3 linked regions of the Caenorhabditis elegans genome follow. The protein of the gene in region 3 interacts with the protein of the main gene of each other region in a pairwise test. Each region holds a gene or a part of one and is shown on either strand. Other genes may lie near its edges. The genes, in order: R02F11.1, col-20 and ccz-1.

Region 1 (4,887 bases), 8.9 Mb from region 3:
TAGTACAAGCCTGTCGACACAATCGGAATGTTGAAATTTTTCGAAAAATCGAACAGTGATAAGGGATATAGGATAAGAGTGTAGGGAGAGGAGCGTGCTTCTACTATTTTGGGACAAAGTCGGAACTTCACTGCTCTCCAGATGTTCAATGTTTATCCAGGAACACTAAAAATAAAACTTGTTCGAGTGGGTAGAAAAGTTGAAGTTCCTGATAGACATATCGCAAATTACCTGAGGAAAGAAATCCTCCCAATTTCCAGGCAAAAAAAATCGTTTAAAATGTCCGAACTGCCATATTTTCCCTATTATACATACTTGTAGAGAAATAGTTTGAAATCGCAATTAAAAAAATGAAACTGTAGATTATCCTGTTTACCTGCGTGCCTACCAGGGGTGTGCGGCAAATTTACCGAATTTGCCGAATTTGCCGAGCACGGGAAATTTCAAAAAAGTAGATTTGCCAAATTTGCCGAGCTCGGCAAATTTCAAAATTTGTCGCACACGTCAAAAATTTGACAGTACAATTTTGACTAAAACTATTGATTTTTTCGCCAAAAAATTACAAAATTGAGTTATTTAGATGCATAAGCAAACATACTACACGGAACTTATTCGGAATCCAGGTGATTGTTCAGAATTCAGTAGTTTTGGTGCTCCAAAAAGCATCAATGAGTATTAATTTTTTGGAGTTTGTTGAGCACGGCTAATTTGCCGTAGGTAGGCACTTTGATGCCTCGGCGTCCCATATGCAGAACAAGCTCAAAACAGACACAACTCTGGAATATGTACGGCAATTAAAACTGAGCTTTTTCTGCGTATCTAAAGGTCAGACACAGCAGTCCAGCTCCAATTTAAGCCTTGTTCGAGCCGGGGACTGTGACCAATAGTCCAGTCGTGGATTGCTCTACTTCCCACTTAAGGCTGGATGGACCTAGTGGGAGGTAGGACTTGAACTGGTGACCTCTAGATTGCTGGCGGCCACCACTGGTTCATTGTGTCCGGACCTCGATCGCGATGTCTCCACTGAGACATTATGCGTACATCTTAAGTTGTTCGAAGACTCTCGCATGACTTCCATGTTTCTTGTTCCAATAATTCCCAGACGTCACAAAGCATATTCCACGTGTTTTTTTTAAACCGCGTTTGGACGAGTGTTGGGAAAAAAAGAGAGTTGTGCTCTCATAATGGAGGTGTATTATGTGCTCACTTTCTCTCTGAGAAGTTGCCTCTTCAAGGATGATGGCTTCCCGTCTCCGGCCGTGGTCTACACCACCCGCGTGTGTTGCATCCCAAAACCGGATACTCTTACCTGCCGGTCAGTTGGCCCGGCAGCTCTCGCTGTCTCTCTGACGCCACCGCTGCCACTCGAGTGCACCGAGTATAAAGAGCACAGTGCTCCGACACTTTAGAGTCAAATTTTCTTCCGATGGCAAATCGGCTACTCACACATCAGGAACAGATTTTGCTCTGTTCTCTGTTTTTAAGATTTTCTAGACACCGTAGTTTCCCTATTAGACATGCAACCCTTGCTCTATTTTGTTATATCTCTGTTCCCTTCGGTTCTATCAAAAAACTGTCATTAACTGACAAAACACGTGCAAAATATTTATCTACAGTTAGACAGTAAACGCCGCTTAAGTAGATCAATGAGTTTCATGTCCAATATGCTAAATACGGTAGGAATCATTTTTTCAACTATTCTAATTTTTCTTGTAGCATTAAAAAAACTATCAACTAACATCCTAACTACTATTTAAGTATCAAGCATTGCAAAAATTTAAAGAAGCAAAAGGCTCTTACTATTAGAAAGCTATATGTTTTCCATTGACCACAGACTCCGGGCTTTTCATAAAAACCTTAGCAATCCGAATATAATTGGAAAGTTTCTATATATGCTTCAACCGTGATAAGATAAGTTGAACGACATTTTGACAAGCGCGCGCTCACAATCTTTTGGTGTATGTGTGTGTGTGTGTGTGGGGTCACTCAAGTATTTGAACATCAATCGTCCACTTCATTTTACAAACACATAGACTGGACTGAGCCCGATGGGGGAAATGAGAGAGTTTCGTGCCGCGCGCAAAGAGCACGTCGCCGCGCGGAGGCGCCAGAGTCTAAGCTAACACAGAAAGTCGGAGGGAGACGAAAAAGAGAAGACGGTCAGTTAGTGTCCCCTCCCCTCTCTCCTCACTGTTACGTACAAATGACCATTTAGTCTTGCTGCTCCATCGGGCTTCTCCTTGAGAACAAATCTTCAGATTTATTTTTGAGTTACCTTACTCTACCTACTAATTTTACAGTTTTACTTACATATTACTCTTTATTATTTATCTGAATCTTTATTAGTTTCCTGATATAATATTATTATTATTATTAAAATTTCAGGCCAGCGCAGGGTCAGGTGTTCCTACTTGTCTTAAAACCTTCAAATAACTCATTATGAAGCAACTCGCCATCTCCTTCTGCATTATCCTCCCCCTCGCCTGCTTCTGGGTACTGAACGCAGAAGACGCGAAAGAAGGTATGTTGTCACTCACTCTTCAACTCCTAAAATCCGACTTTCAGCTCCAGAAATTCGTGAAGCCAACTCCACAGTATTCCGTCAGAAGAGGCAGTTTGGATGCCCATCCAATTGCTATTCCTCATGCAGTTCCTCGTCCCAGTGCCAGAGATATTCTGTCGCATCTGTCTGTGTCCAAGGATGCTGTTGCCCAGGAAACAATAACCTTGATAGTAAGTTTTTTTAATATGAAGGTTGTGTAGGAAGTTGAAAAATTGCTTTTTTTCATAAATCAGAGATGTTAAAGAAAACGTCGCAATTATTAAAAACTAGGAGCGGGGATAGCTCAGTCGGTAGTATTGATAATTAGCAATCTAGAGGTCACGAGTTCAAGTCCTGGCTTCCCTAGGTTCAGTGTACCCAGATCCGTTCATATCGCTTAAGTAACGCATCGTCCTTTAACCCTTTAGTAAGGAATATGAGATAAAAGTTGAATGCTGACACCTTTAAAATTTAGATCTCCCTTAGTTCAAACCTCAAACCTTATCAAAATCATATCAAGAGATATCAAGAATCCAGTCACCGTTCCAATTTCTCAAGTGTCCCCGCCGTTCCCTTCCGGTTCGAGCAAACACACACACTGATTACCTAATGATTGCTACAACTCCCGGGGAGACGCTGCTTAGTCCCTTTTGCGGTGATGGAGACACCTTCTTATACGGCTCAACATAAATACAAAATATTTGCGAAGTTTCGCGGGGTGTTTGCGTTTGCTCGGTGCGTGCTGCTGTGCTCTGTGTCTCACGAAGTCGGCGCGGTTTGGACAACACGCACGAACCTATCTTTTTCTATCTTTAGCTCGTATCAGAACGAGTTCAAATATGGGTGTGGAAAGTCGTCTAATTCCAACAAAAATTTCAGCCGCCTGCTCCGGAGGACCAGCCGTCGCCGCCTGCCTCGGAGGACTCTGCGGACAAGGATTCTTCTGCTCGAGCAACAACTACTGCTGCAGATGCCAATCCGGAAACAGCACGGGACCATGTGTAAACCAGGTCTGCCCAACCGGATTCATGTGCAACACCAACAACTACTGTTGCCCACTCGGATCCGGAGGAGTCCTCGGATCATGTGTCAACGGAGTCTGCCCAACTGGATACACCTGTGGAGCTGGAAACTTGTGCTATTTGAGCAGTGGAAAGTAAAAAAATGGAATTCAATTTTTCCCTTTTTTCATGCGACAAATTGCCCCCAGTCTTTCTATATTTTTATATATTTTTTTAATATATTGTACTTTCCTTCTCCGTTCTCTGACTCTCTGCTCCTTTTAAATTATTCTAATCTATTTGAAACGAATCGTTCCCACCACCAAGACAACAACATCAACAACAAACGAAATCCCAAAAAAATATTTGAATTGTTTTTAAATTTAATTTGTTTATTTATTATTTTATTTTAATTAATGAAATAAAAAAAGAAACATTTGACACTCTACGACGATATGTGAGAAAAAATATTATAGTTTGCAAATCAAAATTTTCAAAATTTCAAACAAAAAAAAGTATAGTTAATTATGCGAAAAAAAAACATTGAGAGATGCTGATGATTTCTGTCATGAAACCGGAAAAATATGAAATAAAACTTAAAGTAGGGGGGCACTGGGAAGAAGAAAAAAACAAAATCATAATGCAAATGTGCTCTAATAATAACTAATTCAAACAATTTTATGCTCGTCGTGAGGATGATGATCATAATCATAGTCTGTATGAACAAATGCACGTTCAACTTCCGGCAAGCTTTCGATGTTTGATTGGAGGGTCTCACTGATGTCATGGGATTCTTTGAGGATCATATTCTCGTCGAGCACAATGTGCACCTGGAAATATTACAGATTTTAGAGTAGCACAATAATTCAGTTGTAAGCTCAGCCTCTTCAGAAATGTGCGATACGGGCTTATGTTAGGCCTAGGTGTAGGTTTAGGCCTAGGCTTAGGCTTGGGCTTAGGCTCAGGCTTAGGTTCAGGCTTAGGCTTGAAGAATCCAGAGAAAAAATATTCTTACCTCAACTAAAAACTTGCTTCCAAAATGGTACACATAAACCGTATCAATATGTGAAATCCGAGCATCATGATCCAAGCAGACTTTGATGATCCTATTAATGAACTCTGGCTCTGCAGTTTTACCCGACAGCTTTGCCAAATGCTCCCGTCCAGTTTGCACCCAGGTATACAAAATGTACATAGAAACCACAATAGCACCGGCTGGGTCAAAGTAGTACGAGTACTTGGTGCCGAGCCAGGCACAGATCAGGGCGACCGTGTTGGAGATGCAATCGTTGCGATGGTCCATTGCGAGCACGTTGACCGATGGTTCCTTGTATCGTTTACAGA
Region 2 (4,571 bases), on a different chromosome or scaffold from region 3:
AGTATGAGCCAAGACGATAAGCAAAAGCTTGTGGAGGTCGAGACCGTGAAGAAATTCGCGTTCTTCGGAATTGCAGTCTCCACTGTTGCCACTTTGACAGCTATCGTTGCAGTCCCAATGCTTTGCATGTACATGCAAAACGTTCAATCCGGACTTCAAGATGAGATCAATTTCTGCCGTACTCGTTCCGACTCTCTTCGTGGAGAATACACCAAGCTCGATCAATTCCGTAAAGCTGAGAGCCGTGAGAAGCGTCAAACCTACCAATGCTGCTCTTGCGGAATTGGACCAGCTGGATCCGTTGGAAACCCAGGACAAGACGGAGCCCCAGGAAATGACGGAAGACCAGGAGCCCCAGGAGCCCCAGGACCAGATGCTCCAAATGAGCACGTTCAACCAACTCCAGCCGATTTCTGCTTCGAGTGCCCACCAGGACCAGCCGGAAACGCCGGAAACCCAGGACCAAAGGGACCACCAGGACAGCCAGGAGCACCAGGAGAGCAAGGACCAAATGGACGCCCAGGAGCCCCAGGAGCCCCAGGACCACAAGGACCACCAGGAACCGCAGGAAATGACGGAACTCCAGGACAACCAGGAGCCCCCGGACAAGTCCGCACCGTCCCAGCCCCACCAGGTAACCCAGGACAGCCAGGAGAGCCAGGAGCCCAAGGACCACCAGGAGAGGATGGACGCCCAGGAAACTCAGGACCACAAGGACCACCAGGACCACAAGGAGAGCCAGGACAAGATGGAGCTCCAGGAAACCCAGGAGCACCAGGAGAGGCTGGAGAGCCAGGAAAGGACGGAGCCAAGGGTAAGTATTTATTCAATTTTTGTACATTTCTCTTATCATTCCCTAATTCCAGGAGGATGCGATCACTGCCCAATCCCAAGAACTGCTCCAGGATATTAATTCCTCAATTGCTATTTTCTTGCTTAAATTATTTCTCTTTCTCTCTACTTGTATTTATAATACCTGTCGAAACATTTCACGGGGCTCTTCAACAAGAAACCAATAAAACTATTGAAATTAATTGAACTTGTAAAGAGAATTGGATGAATAGGAAAAGAAAGGTGAAGAGATAGAAAGTGAAAATGAGTGAATGTAATGATGGACGGTCATTTAAAAGGAAGGTGACTCGTAAAACAAAACTATTATGATTCGTTTAAAGAACGGTGACAATGTGGAAAAATATTGGTAATAGAAATTATGAAAACACAAAAGTTAAAGAAGCTCTTCGATACGCTTAGTTTTGAGCTTAAGGTTTTGAAACTTTTTTTCGCGTTAACAAAACTTAATTCACACTAATGAATCAAAAAACTAATATTTGAAATTTAATTTTTTATAATTTTTAAAAAAATTCTTTACGGCGAATAAACTCTAGGAAGACCAAAACTTTAGAGTAGTTACCAGATGCGAAATTTTATAGAAACAATGGCAACGTTGAGCTGCGGAATGTAGGCCTCCAGCTAGTTGTGGAAAATACATCACGAGGCATAAATGTGATCAAAACCTGCCTGTAAATTTCAGTTTTAAAGTAATTTTTAATAAAAATTGAATTGTATACTTTTTTTGTGGACACTTTTTCAGACGAGGCTTTTTATCAACTTTTTTTGTGACCTCAACTAGTGGAAATTGGGAATGGGCACAAAAACATTTTCTGCAATTTGGTATTTGCCACTTTTGGAGCTGTCAAAAAAGAAATAGGCTTCTCACTCTTTCAGCAAACCGGAAAAGATCGAGCTCAAAAACTTGGCAGTTGTGAGGTAAAATTTCGGAAAAGTTAAATTGCAATGAATTTTAAAAAATGAATACCTGAAATGTTTTTCTGTCACATAACAAAAGCTCGTCCCTTTACCAAATTATAGATTTTGCAATGTTCTACTCGGAATTTTGGATTGCCGAATGGTATTATCTGGTTTTTATTGACACTCGCGAAAATAGGTTCTAAAAATCCTGAAACATTTTCAACAAAGGAAAAGTTTTATGTTGCTACCCCTATCAAATTTTAAGAAATAACTTCCGTCATTTTTCTATTTTCCATCACAACGGCACGATTGCCGATTGCAAGGAATGATAACAGTTCAGATCGGTTCGTTTTTCTGTTTTCTTTTTTCTTCCCAGGCAACGGTCTTCTACGTCTCCCTTCAAGCCAACCCCGAAAACCAATCAGCCCCCAAATTGTCGAGCGTCTCCAATTTTCAGATGATCCCTCTTCAAGCATCTTCTTTTTTTTCCTGGAAAGCCTACTCCCACTCTCCTATCTCTAGTAGTTACTGTACACCGACGCTATCGGTTCCCAAGCGAAACTATAAAAGAAGGGGTCGAAAGTTGTGGAAACCATCACACTAACGGACATGGCCGACGAGAAGTCAATCAAGTACGCTGAGGCGGATTCCGTCAAAAAATTCGCCTTCTTCGGTAATTATTTTTTAAAAATCAATTTCTTTGTTTTCAAAAACTTTAATATATTATAAGATGTTTAATATCATTTTGCCAAAGATTATCATAACTCCTATTATTCAATTGTTCACACTTTCATTTTCTAGGTGTGGCTGTTTCCACCATTGCCACCTTGACGGCTATCATTGCCGTGCCAATGCTCTGTCTGCACATGCAAAATGTGCAATCTGGCCTCCAAGAGGAGCTTGTCTTCTGTAAATCAAAGAATGCTGATCTTAAATCCGAATTCTTCAAGCTCGACAAGGTCCGATCTAACGCTGTTTCTGATCGTCAAAAGCGTCAGTCTGAGTACCAATGCTGTTCTTGCGGAATTGGAGCCGCCGGAGCCCCAGGATCTCCAGGAGAGGACGGAGCTCCAGGAGATGATGGAAAGCCAGGAAATGATGGAGAGCCAGGTCGCGATTCTACCGATAAGGACGAGAAGCCAACTGCCGCTGACTTCTGCTTCGATTGCCCAGTTGGACCAGCTGGACCAGCCGGAGGACCAGGACCAAAGGGACCACCAGGACCACCAGGAGGACACGGAGAACCAGGACCAGCTGGACGTGGAGGACCACGTGGCCCACCAGGACCAGGAGGACCACAAGGAGAGGCCGGAGAAGATGGAGGAGCCGGAAACCCAGGAACTCCAGGACAAGTTCGTTCTCTTCCATCCCCACCAGGAGAGCCAGGACAACCAGGAGAGCCAGGAGGTCCAGGAGAGCCAGGAGCCGATGGACGACCAGGACACCCAGGAAGAGCCGGACCTCCAGGACCACCAGGAGACAATGGACCAAACGGAGAGCCAGGAAAGGACGGGGAGGATGGAGCTCCAGGAGCCGCAGGAAACGCCGGAGCCAAGGGATCTTGCGATCACTGCCCACCACCAAGAACTGCTCCAGGATATTAGATTGTCTTTCTATGTTTTTAAATTCTTCTTTTCTTTCTGGTCGTTTATGTTTTTCACTCAAAATGAAGAACTTTCGAGTATATTAGTTGATTCGAATTATCATATAAGTGTGTTTTCAAAAAAGTTTAGTTCAACAACAGGAAGTTTCTTTCAGAAGCGATTTCAAACTTGATAAGAAGATACGGTAATAGTTCTAATGACCATTGAAATAGTTGTAGGAAACCATTTATGTCTGGTGAATGTGTTGCCATAGATACTACTACGTTTCATGTAATTTTCGATGAAGATGTCAGACTGGTCACAAATCCTTTTGATCTATAGGAAATGCGCTCAACCGAAAAATGATAAAAACCAAGTCATGTCGCTTTGATTCGAGATTCTTCTATAAATCTGAAGCGGTTTCCAAGAAGCAATTTAAGTCAAAAATAAATTTAGAAATATTGAAAAATATTTGATTAATTTAAAAATAATATTCCTAACTAATAAAATGTGCAAAAAAACATCTGAAAACTGGCTGAAAGTTGTCGAAATTTTGAGGGCCGTGTTTGAGGATTTTTCCAACGTTTTAAACATATTTTCCAATAAGTTGGATTGTTAAACTGAAAATTGACAATGTTCCTGGATATCCTGAAAAATGACTACAAGTTATGCTAACCATCTTTCAGATTTCAGGGGTTTTTCTTAAACTGTTATTTCTAATTCCAATTCAAAAGTTCAAAAAGAAGGGTGGTATAGTACAAGGCGTTCCATCTGCATTCCTCAAAAACCGAGACGTTCAACGATCATAGTGTAATACAGAAGAAGTCACGAAAAAAAGAGAGGGAAACCAACGAAAAAAAACTAAAACTTGGTCGCGATTTTCGATTTTTTCCTCTTTCTCCTATGTTCGTTTTTACCCTCATTGACGCCACAGAAAAAAACATCTGTGTTTGGGAATTTTAATTAAATTAATCAAATCTTCGAGAATAAGGTGAGACACAAAAGTGATTGAAATGAGGAGTGGAGATTTGTGGATTTGGATGCAATCACTATCACCTTCTTAATCCAAACAATTTTGTTCGGAACAAAAGATGGAGGAAGCAACAGGGGAAGGTGAATGTGTAAGGGATTAGTTCCTTCTTGGAAAGAAGGTGGTCAGAGAAAAATCTAAAATGCGGTAGGCAGATACATAAGCAGGCAGACAAAGGCAGTTTACTTACATGAAAAATCGACATAAGA
Region 3 (5,993 bases):
GGTCTCTAGGAGGGGATCGTGAATTGGAACGCCTCGCCTCGGAATCTTCTCTTAAATTTTCGGGTGGCTCCTGTGAAGCATAGTATGCGTCGACGCATTTACGAATTTTTTCAATTTGATCTTCTTCTTTCAATTTTCTTGTTTTGTCAAATCGTTCTCGATCAGTTGCAGATGGTCGATTTGTGATAAATTCTTCGACAGAACATTTTTGTTTTTCTTCGAATGTCTTTTTAATACGTGCCTTTTCTTCCAAAAACTCAAGAGGGTATTTCAAGTTGGTCGGATCTTCGGTGATTCTGTAAATAATTAATTTAATAAAAAATTGAATTGATTTTGAGAACGTACGCTCCATCGGCCAAAGCAATATCCATTTCGACACCTTTGTGGAACATATTCTTAGCAGCAAGTAGTCTTGATGACGGTGGAACTGATGCTGGCATTTCAAGTTCTTCTGGGTCCAATGGTTCATACTTGAATCAAATAAAATATAAATTGACAAAATATCGGATCATAACATACCATGACACTATTCATCGAAACTAGTGGAGTCATAATTCCAGCCGGTAAAGCCATATACGATTTCTGTGGCTTCAAATTTTCCTCATCAAACGGCATTCCATCAATATCTTCTCCATCGTCCTGCTGGTCATTTTGATTCCATGTGTTCGAAACAGAAGCGTGTGGTCGTTCAGCTGAATGTTTTGGAGCTTGATCAAATCTTGATCTTCTCATGTTTGACAGTGGAGCATTAGGATGATGCGATGCAGGTCCGGATGATGGCCCATGACGAAACTCTGTAAGAACCAATTTTTAAAATTTTCAGACTAAATTTCTATTTCTCACCATCAATTTTTCTCTCAACTTCGTCAATTTGTCTTTGAATATGCTGGGAATATGTGACATGCTGTTGTTCATATCCATCAAACGTTGCCATCAGATTACTTCGAATCGACTCCCGAATTGTTCCATAAGATGATTTTTCAATTTCTCTGTCAGTGCTAACAATTTGAACTGTATTCCTGAGTTGTTTGAATACAGAATCAGCGAAATATTGTCGACCTTCCCATTCTCCTAAAAGCTTTCCTTCTAACTTGTTGCTCAACTCACTCGACGAAGAAAGTTCTATACAATATGCATACATTTTTGGAACGTATCGAGCCAGCATTTTCATTTGATTTTCTTCTTTTTTTCTTTGACTGAAATTTGGTATTTAACGACGTTTTGTTCAGTATTCTAAGCTTACCAATGAAATGCCCAATCATTGATTAAATATAGAATATGAAGTCGTAGATATTCTCCAGATGCTTCATCTTTAACTTTATTTAACAGAAAAGACAGTATTATTTCTCTCAGCTGATCGCTTGTGCAGTATTCGAAAATCCACTTTTTCGCTTGCTGAAGAAAATTTTTCGTCAAATTTCTTTATTTTTTGAAAAATTACTTACTGAAATCAAATCTTTAGAGCATTTCGGTGTAGCCATTGCATCTAAATAGGAATTGAGATCTTCCACGTTCAGATTATTCTGACTCAACATCTTCTCAATTTTCATTGTTTCAGAAGTTCGAATAGCAGATTTAAGATGTGCCTGGATAAACGTGGATACAAGATTGTATGTTTGCAAAACACACCATTAGGAGCTCGTCCATTCCATTTCTGTGAGCGTTCAAATTCTGCTCACTGTCGATAATCTTTTGACGTAACTCATCGATTTTCTTGCGCCATTCGACAATCTCTGGTGGATCCATCAGAGAAGGAATCGACTGCCGTTCTGAAAAGTCAAAAATTAATGATTTACAATCTTGAAACGTTTAAAAGATTCAAACCTGGTGGAGGGAAGTCCCTAGGGAGTGGAATATCGCCACTGCGCCATGATTGACCGTGCTGAGAGCTACTGCCACCTCTCCAGCTAGAATTTTCATTCATGTCGTCTAAAAGTTATATGTTTATATGATCAAATATTTTATCTCTTTCTTGTGACAAATAAACAATATATATATTCTGCATGGTTTTGCAGAAAATTTGCGGAGGATTTAAAAAATAAATCGAGACATGCGCCAGTGATCAAGTTTTGCGTCAGTGAACAACGTTTGCGTCAATCATTTATGTCTGCTACCCTCCTAGTCTCACACACTCTTTTTCTCTCTTTTATTTTATTTTATTTTTAATTTTAATTTTAACACTGCACGGTACAAAACATATATTTTGCTTTTTTCAGAATGGAGTCGATTGCAAATCCATTGTATTTCTTCTCCAACTTGTCATTAAACCCGCCATCCTGCTCTAATGTGGTCAGATTCATTGGTAATTGAATTTTAATTAAAAAAACGAAATAATTATGTTTTTACAGATGTCCTTGAATTCTTTTTCGTGGCGCATCCATTATCAGGACGAAAAGAAGGCGAAGAACATAATCGTGTGATGTATTTTCATCCGAAAGGCGAGCAATTAGAGAGACAGGTTTTCAATATCGTAATACTTTTTATTCTAATAACTGTATTAATTTCAGACCGAAATAACAGGATTCGCAGAAGCCGTTGTTAACTTTACAGAAAATTTCTTGAGCACCTCCCGTCGGGAAATCAGTGAAAGAATTAGTGAAAATGAAGATGGTTTCGATTTCCGAACTGTGACGACGCAGAGAACAGAGCACGTTTATATTCGTACAGAAGACGATCAATTTATTCTTGGAGTATCAATTTCTAAACAATTATCATTGGTTTCTGATTATCCTCTATTTCAACCAGCGATTAGGAGTATACTTTCCGATGCCTACAAAATGTTTCGAATGTTTTTTGGAACTTTTTCTTCTTTTATCAAGTAAGTTAAAGTCTAGTTTATAAAAATAAAAATATCTTTCAGAAATGTTCCCGACGACATTCCAAAATTCAAAGAACGCCTTGATTTTTTCTTCTCCAAGTACATCCCACTACTGAAAGTTCACAAAATGCCACTACTTGATCATCTTGGAGGCGTCGAATTTCTACGAATGTCTGGTCCTCTCTACTTGAACGTTGTTTCTTTACTTTCCGAACTTCGTGAAGAATTCCAAGTTATCGAGAAAATAATGTTCTTGTATCAAGATAAACTTCTCTACTATCAACTTTCGAAACGCGATCTTCCATCACTATTTCATTATTTGACACATAATTTGCTTCCAACAACATTGGCTCCAGAACTTGAACATTCTGGAAGAAATGCTTCAAAAGGAAGATATCTACGAGGACCAACAGATTTAACAACAGATGCTCCGTTGCTCGGTGATGAGTCACTTTCTGTAGTTCATTTGCATTCCGATCAAGGAACTGAATTTCAAGAAGAACTCATCGGATACCAGATGATCGTTTATCGATGTCTAAATGCAACAGTTTGCATGTTTGTCAGAAATTGTCCAGCAAATGGTGGATTAGAAATCAGAAGGGATTCTGGTGAGTTTTTAAAAATAGTTTTTCGAAACGAAACGTTCTTATTACGTTTTGAGAATAAATTGAAAATAAAAAAGCGATTTTCAACTCTTGCTAATCTGCTAATTTGAATTGCCGCTCTTTTGTATCTAAAATCCACCCGTAGAACCGTGCCGCGCCTCGTTTTTTTGCAATTGTACCGCAAATTTGTCTTTTTGTGTTGTTTTTTTATTCTTAATATAGAAAAATGGCATAAATGATCAAATATATTTTTTTGTATATCAAAAGAATTAAAAAATCGTATCGAACCCGAAAAAAGTACATGTTCCTGAAATTCTAAACACAAGGAAACGTTTTTAAAAATGATTTCTAAATGCTTTTGAAATAGGAAAAATATTTTTGAACATTTTTGAATTTTTCTTCATTAAAAATTAGTCAAGAAACACAAAAAAGAAGAATTCGTGTCGAAATTGAAAAAAAAAGTCGAAGTGCGGCACGGTTCTATGGGCGGAGTTTAGAGACAAAAGCGTGGTAATTCAAATAAAGGGATTAGCAAAAGTTGAATTTTCATCAAAATCAGATTTTTTCCAAATTTGGTGGATTTTTCTCATCTTTCTTATGTGATATTTCGGCACATTAAACTACTTTTAAGGTAATATCTACATTTTCCGAACTCCACCTTTAAACAAAATAAATCTTTTTCCGACTTATTTTCTTTTCCAGAATCATCTCAATCATCTCGCGCCACTCCTTCACAGAATGGTGTTGTCAGTCGTCGACTTCTTCGAAATATTGATCAGTTTTTGGAAACCGAACTTTCACAAGTAGCGAGTAAAATTGGTGACGAGTAAGTTCAAACTTACATTATATCACAATAAATTCCATTAAATTCCATTAATTTCAGAATCGGCGACGAAAAGTTCCCGGAAGCTCCAGATTTCCATTACATTTACTTCAATCCATCATCGTTATCCATGACCTCAAGCCTTTCAACATCTCCGAAGCTTCCCGTTGCCGCTTCTGGATCTAATTCAACATTAAAAGTACCACTGCCACCAGTTGATGTTAATCGTTTAGTATGTGATACAATGAGCAATTTTGTGTCGGAAACTGAAGAATTTGGTGAATGTTTCGTCAAATCTTCAAGTGATTGGTGGATTGTTATCAAAAAGGTAACAACATTCTTGGCAAAAACAAAATTCAATGTTTTTATTTTTCAGGTTAATTCTCGCCTCCTTGTCTTAATCATTCCTCCATCCAACTACACATCATCCCTTGCCGATGTCCAATCAAAAACTGCAACAATTGTTCGATCCCATTTCGAAGCCATATTTTTTAGTTGATAATATTCATATTTTCCCATGCATGTGTGCCAAAATTTTGTGATATTTGCCTATAATTCAATTCCGTTGCCTTGTACTTTTATATCTTATTCAATTTTTTCTACAGATCTATATTTATATAAAGCTTTTCAATTTTAGAACATGAGAAACATGTTGGGCTCCACATATACTGCCGGGGAATTTCGAAAATCGGATGAGTGCCCTTTGATGCTGAAAATTAGATTTAGTCAAAAGATCTGATCATGCTCCCCCTCGACCACTCCGACGGCTCCTTTGCTCTTTTTCCACACGATTTTCGACATTTTCTTCAAATTTCTTCTTTTTCTTCTCTCTTCAGCAAAAAGCTTTTCATTTTAATAATCCAATTGACTTTTGAAATTTCCCCCCCCCCCCCGCACTCTCATGACTTCTTGCCAAAAATTTATATATATATTTCTGATGTTTATATGTATATGTGTCGTCAAGGTGACAAATGCATGTACATTTTATAAGGGAGGTCTGAGAAGAGAACCACCAAGAAATAAAGTGGGTGGAGTTTCTTAAAGAGGCAAGAAGGCAATGAGATGGAGGGGCAGGTGAGCATATTGAAGGGAAAACGAATTTATTGCTCTCTCGATATTGACTCTCGGGGACCTTCATTTACCCTCTTTTTGAATGAGATTTTCTTTTGCCCAAGTGAGATTTCGTCTCGCCACGAGCGAAAGTTTTCAGCTACCGTACCCTCTAGTACTGTAAATTTTTAATTAAAAATGTCACTCAACAAATTTGTGGCCTTTCCATGAAAACACCCAAAAATCCGAGTAAGACAAGAATATAATTGATGAAATTGAGCAAAACACTCTCACAATCAGGTACATATGTACCAGGGATGCCACCAAAATTGTTTGACCAAAAAACAAAAAAAAACCTTTTTTTTTCAAAAACCCAAAAATTCAAAAACCAAACCAAAAAACAAAAAAAGAACATCTCTGTCGGTTCCTGTTACTGAAAACTTTCGCTCGTGTCCCAATGAGTTTGGGTACTATATCTATAGATCTATATATAGATTAATTATGGAGAAGCGGGAATGGTGATTTCGCTGTAAAATTCCCAGAAATATCAGACATTCAGAAATGTCACAAAATAAAAACTAAAAAATCTAGAAAGAATGGAAAATTCAACTTTTTGAAACGTTGTTTGAGTTCCCTCAAAGATGAGGACTGCAAGACCAATCAGCAACTTGCTCCGCCCACTCTTAAACCAATCAAA

The links.
Region 1: the proteins of ccz-1 (region 3) and R02F11.1 interact in a two-hybrid assay, tested with the Caenorhabditis elegans proteins (one large-scale study listed by BioGRID).
Region 2: the proteins of ccz-1 (region 3) and col-20 interact in a two-hybrid assay, tested with the Caenorhabditis elegans proteins (one large-scale study listed by BioGRID).

Annotation. Positions count from the first base shown.
Region 1 is NC_003283.11:4,798,709-4,803,595, forward strand, and holds R02F11.1 (CC domain-containing protein), read left to right. Parts: upstream 1-2,385; 5' UTR 2,386-2,439; coding exon 2,440-2,521; intron 2,522-2,565; coding exon 2,566-2,733; intron 2,734-3,421; coding exon 3,422-3,702; 3' UTR 3,703-3,976; downstream 3,977-4,887. Other genes in the region: R02F11.3 (Cation efflux protein cytoplasmic domain-containing protein), read right to left, coding at 4,212-4,373, 4,559-4,887.
Region 2 is NC_003280.10:4,868,559-4,873,129, reverse strand, and holds col-20 (Nematode cuticle collagen N-terminal domain-containing protein), read left to right. Parts: upstream 1-2,338; 5' UTR 2,339-2,358; coding exon 2,359-2,422; intron 2,423-2,550; coding exon 2,551-3,353; 3' UTR 3,354-3,460; downstream 3,461-4,571. Other genes in the region: col-73 (Nematode cuticle collagen N-terminal domain-containing protein), read left to right, coding at 4-814, 867-913.
Region 3 is NC_003283.11:13,676,659-13,682,651, forward strand, and holds ccz-1 (Vacuolar fusion protein CCZ1 homolog), read left to right. Parts: upstream 1-2,216; 5' UTR 2,217-2,217; coding exon 2,218-2,302; intron 2,303-2,348; coding exon 2,349-2,458; intron 2,459-2,507; coding exon 2,508-2,818; intron 2,819-2,860; coding exon 2,861-3,426; intron 3,427-3,589; exon of another isoform or gene 3,590-3,739; intron 3,740-4,125; coding exon 4,126-4,249; intron 4,250-4,306; coding exon 4,307-4,574; intron 4,575-4,622; coding exon 4,623-4,745; 3' UTR 4,746-4,881; downstream 4,882-5,993. Other genes in the region: tag-65 (CID domain-containing protein), read right to left, coding at 1-296, 346-470, 520-794, 844-1,196, 1,244-1,395, 1,446-1,586, 1,630-1,769, 1,825-1,924.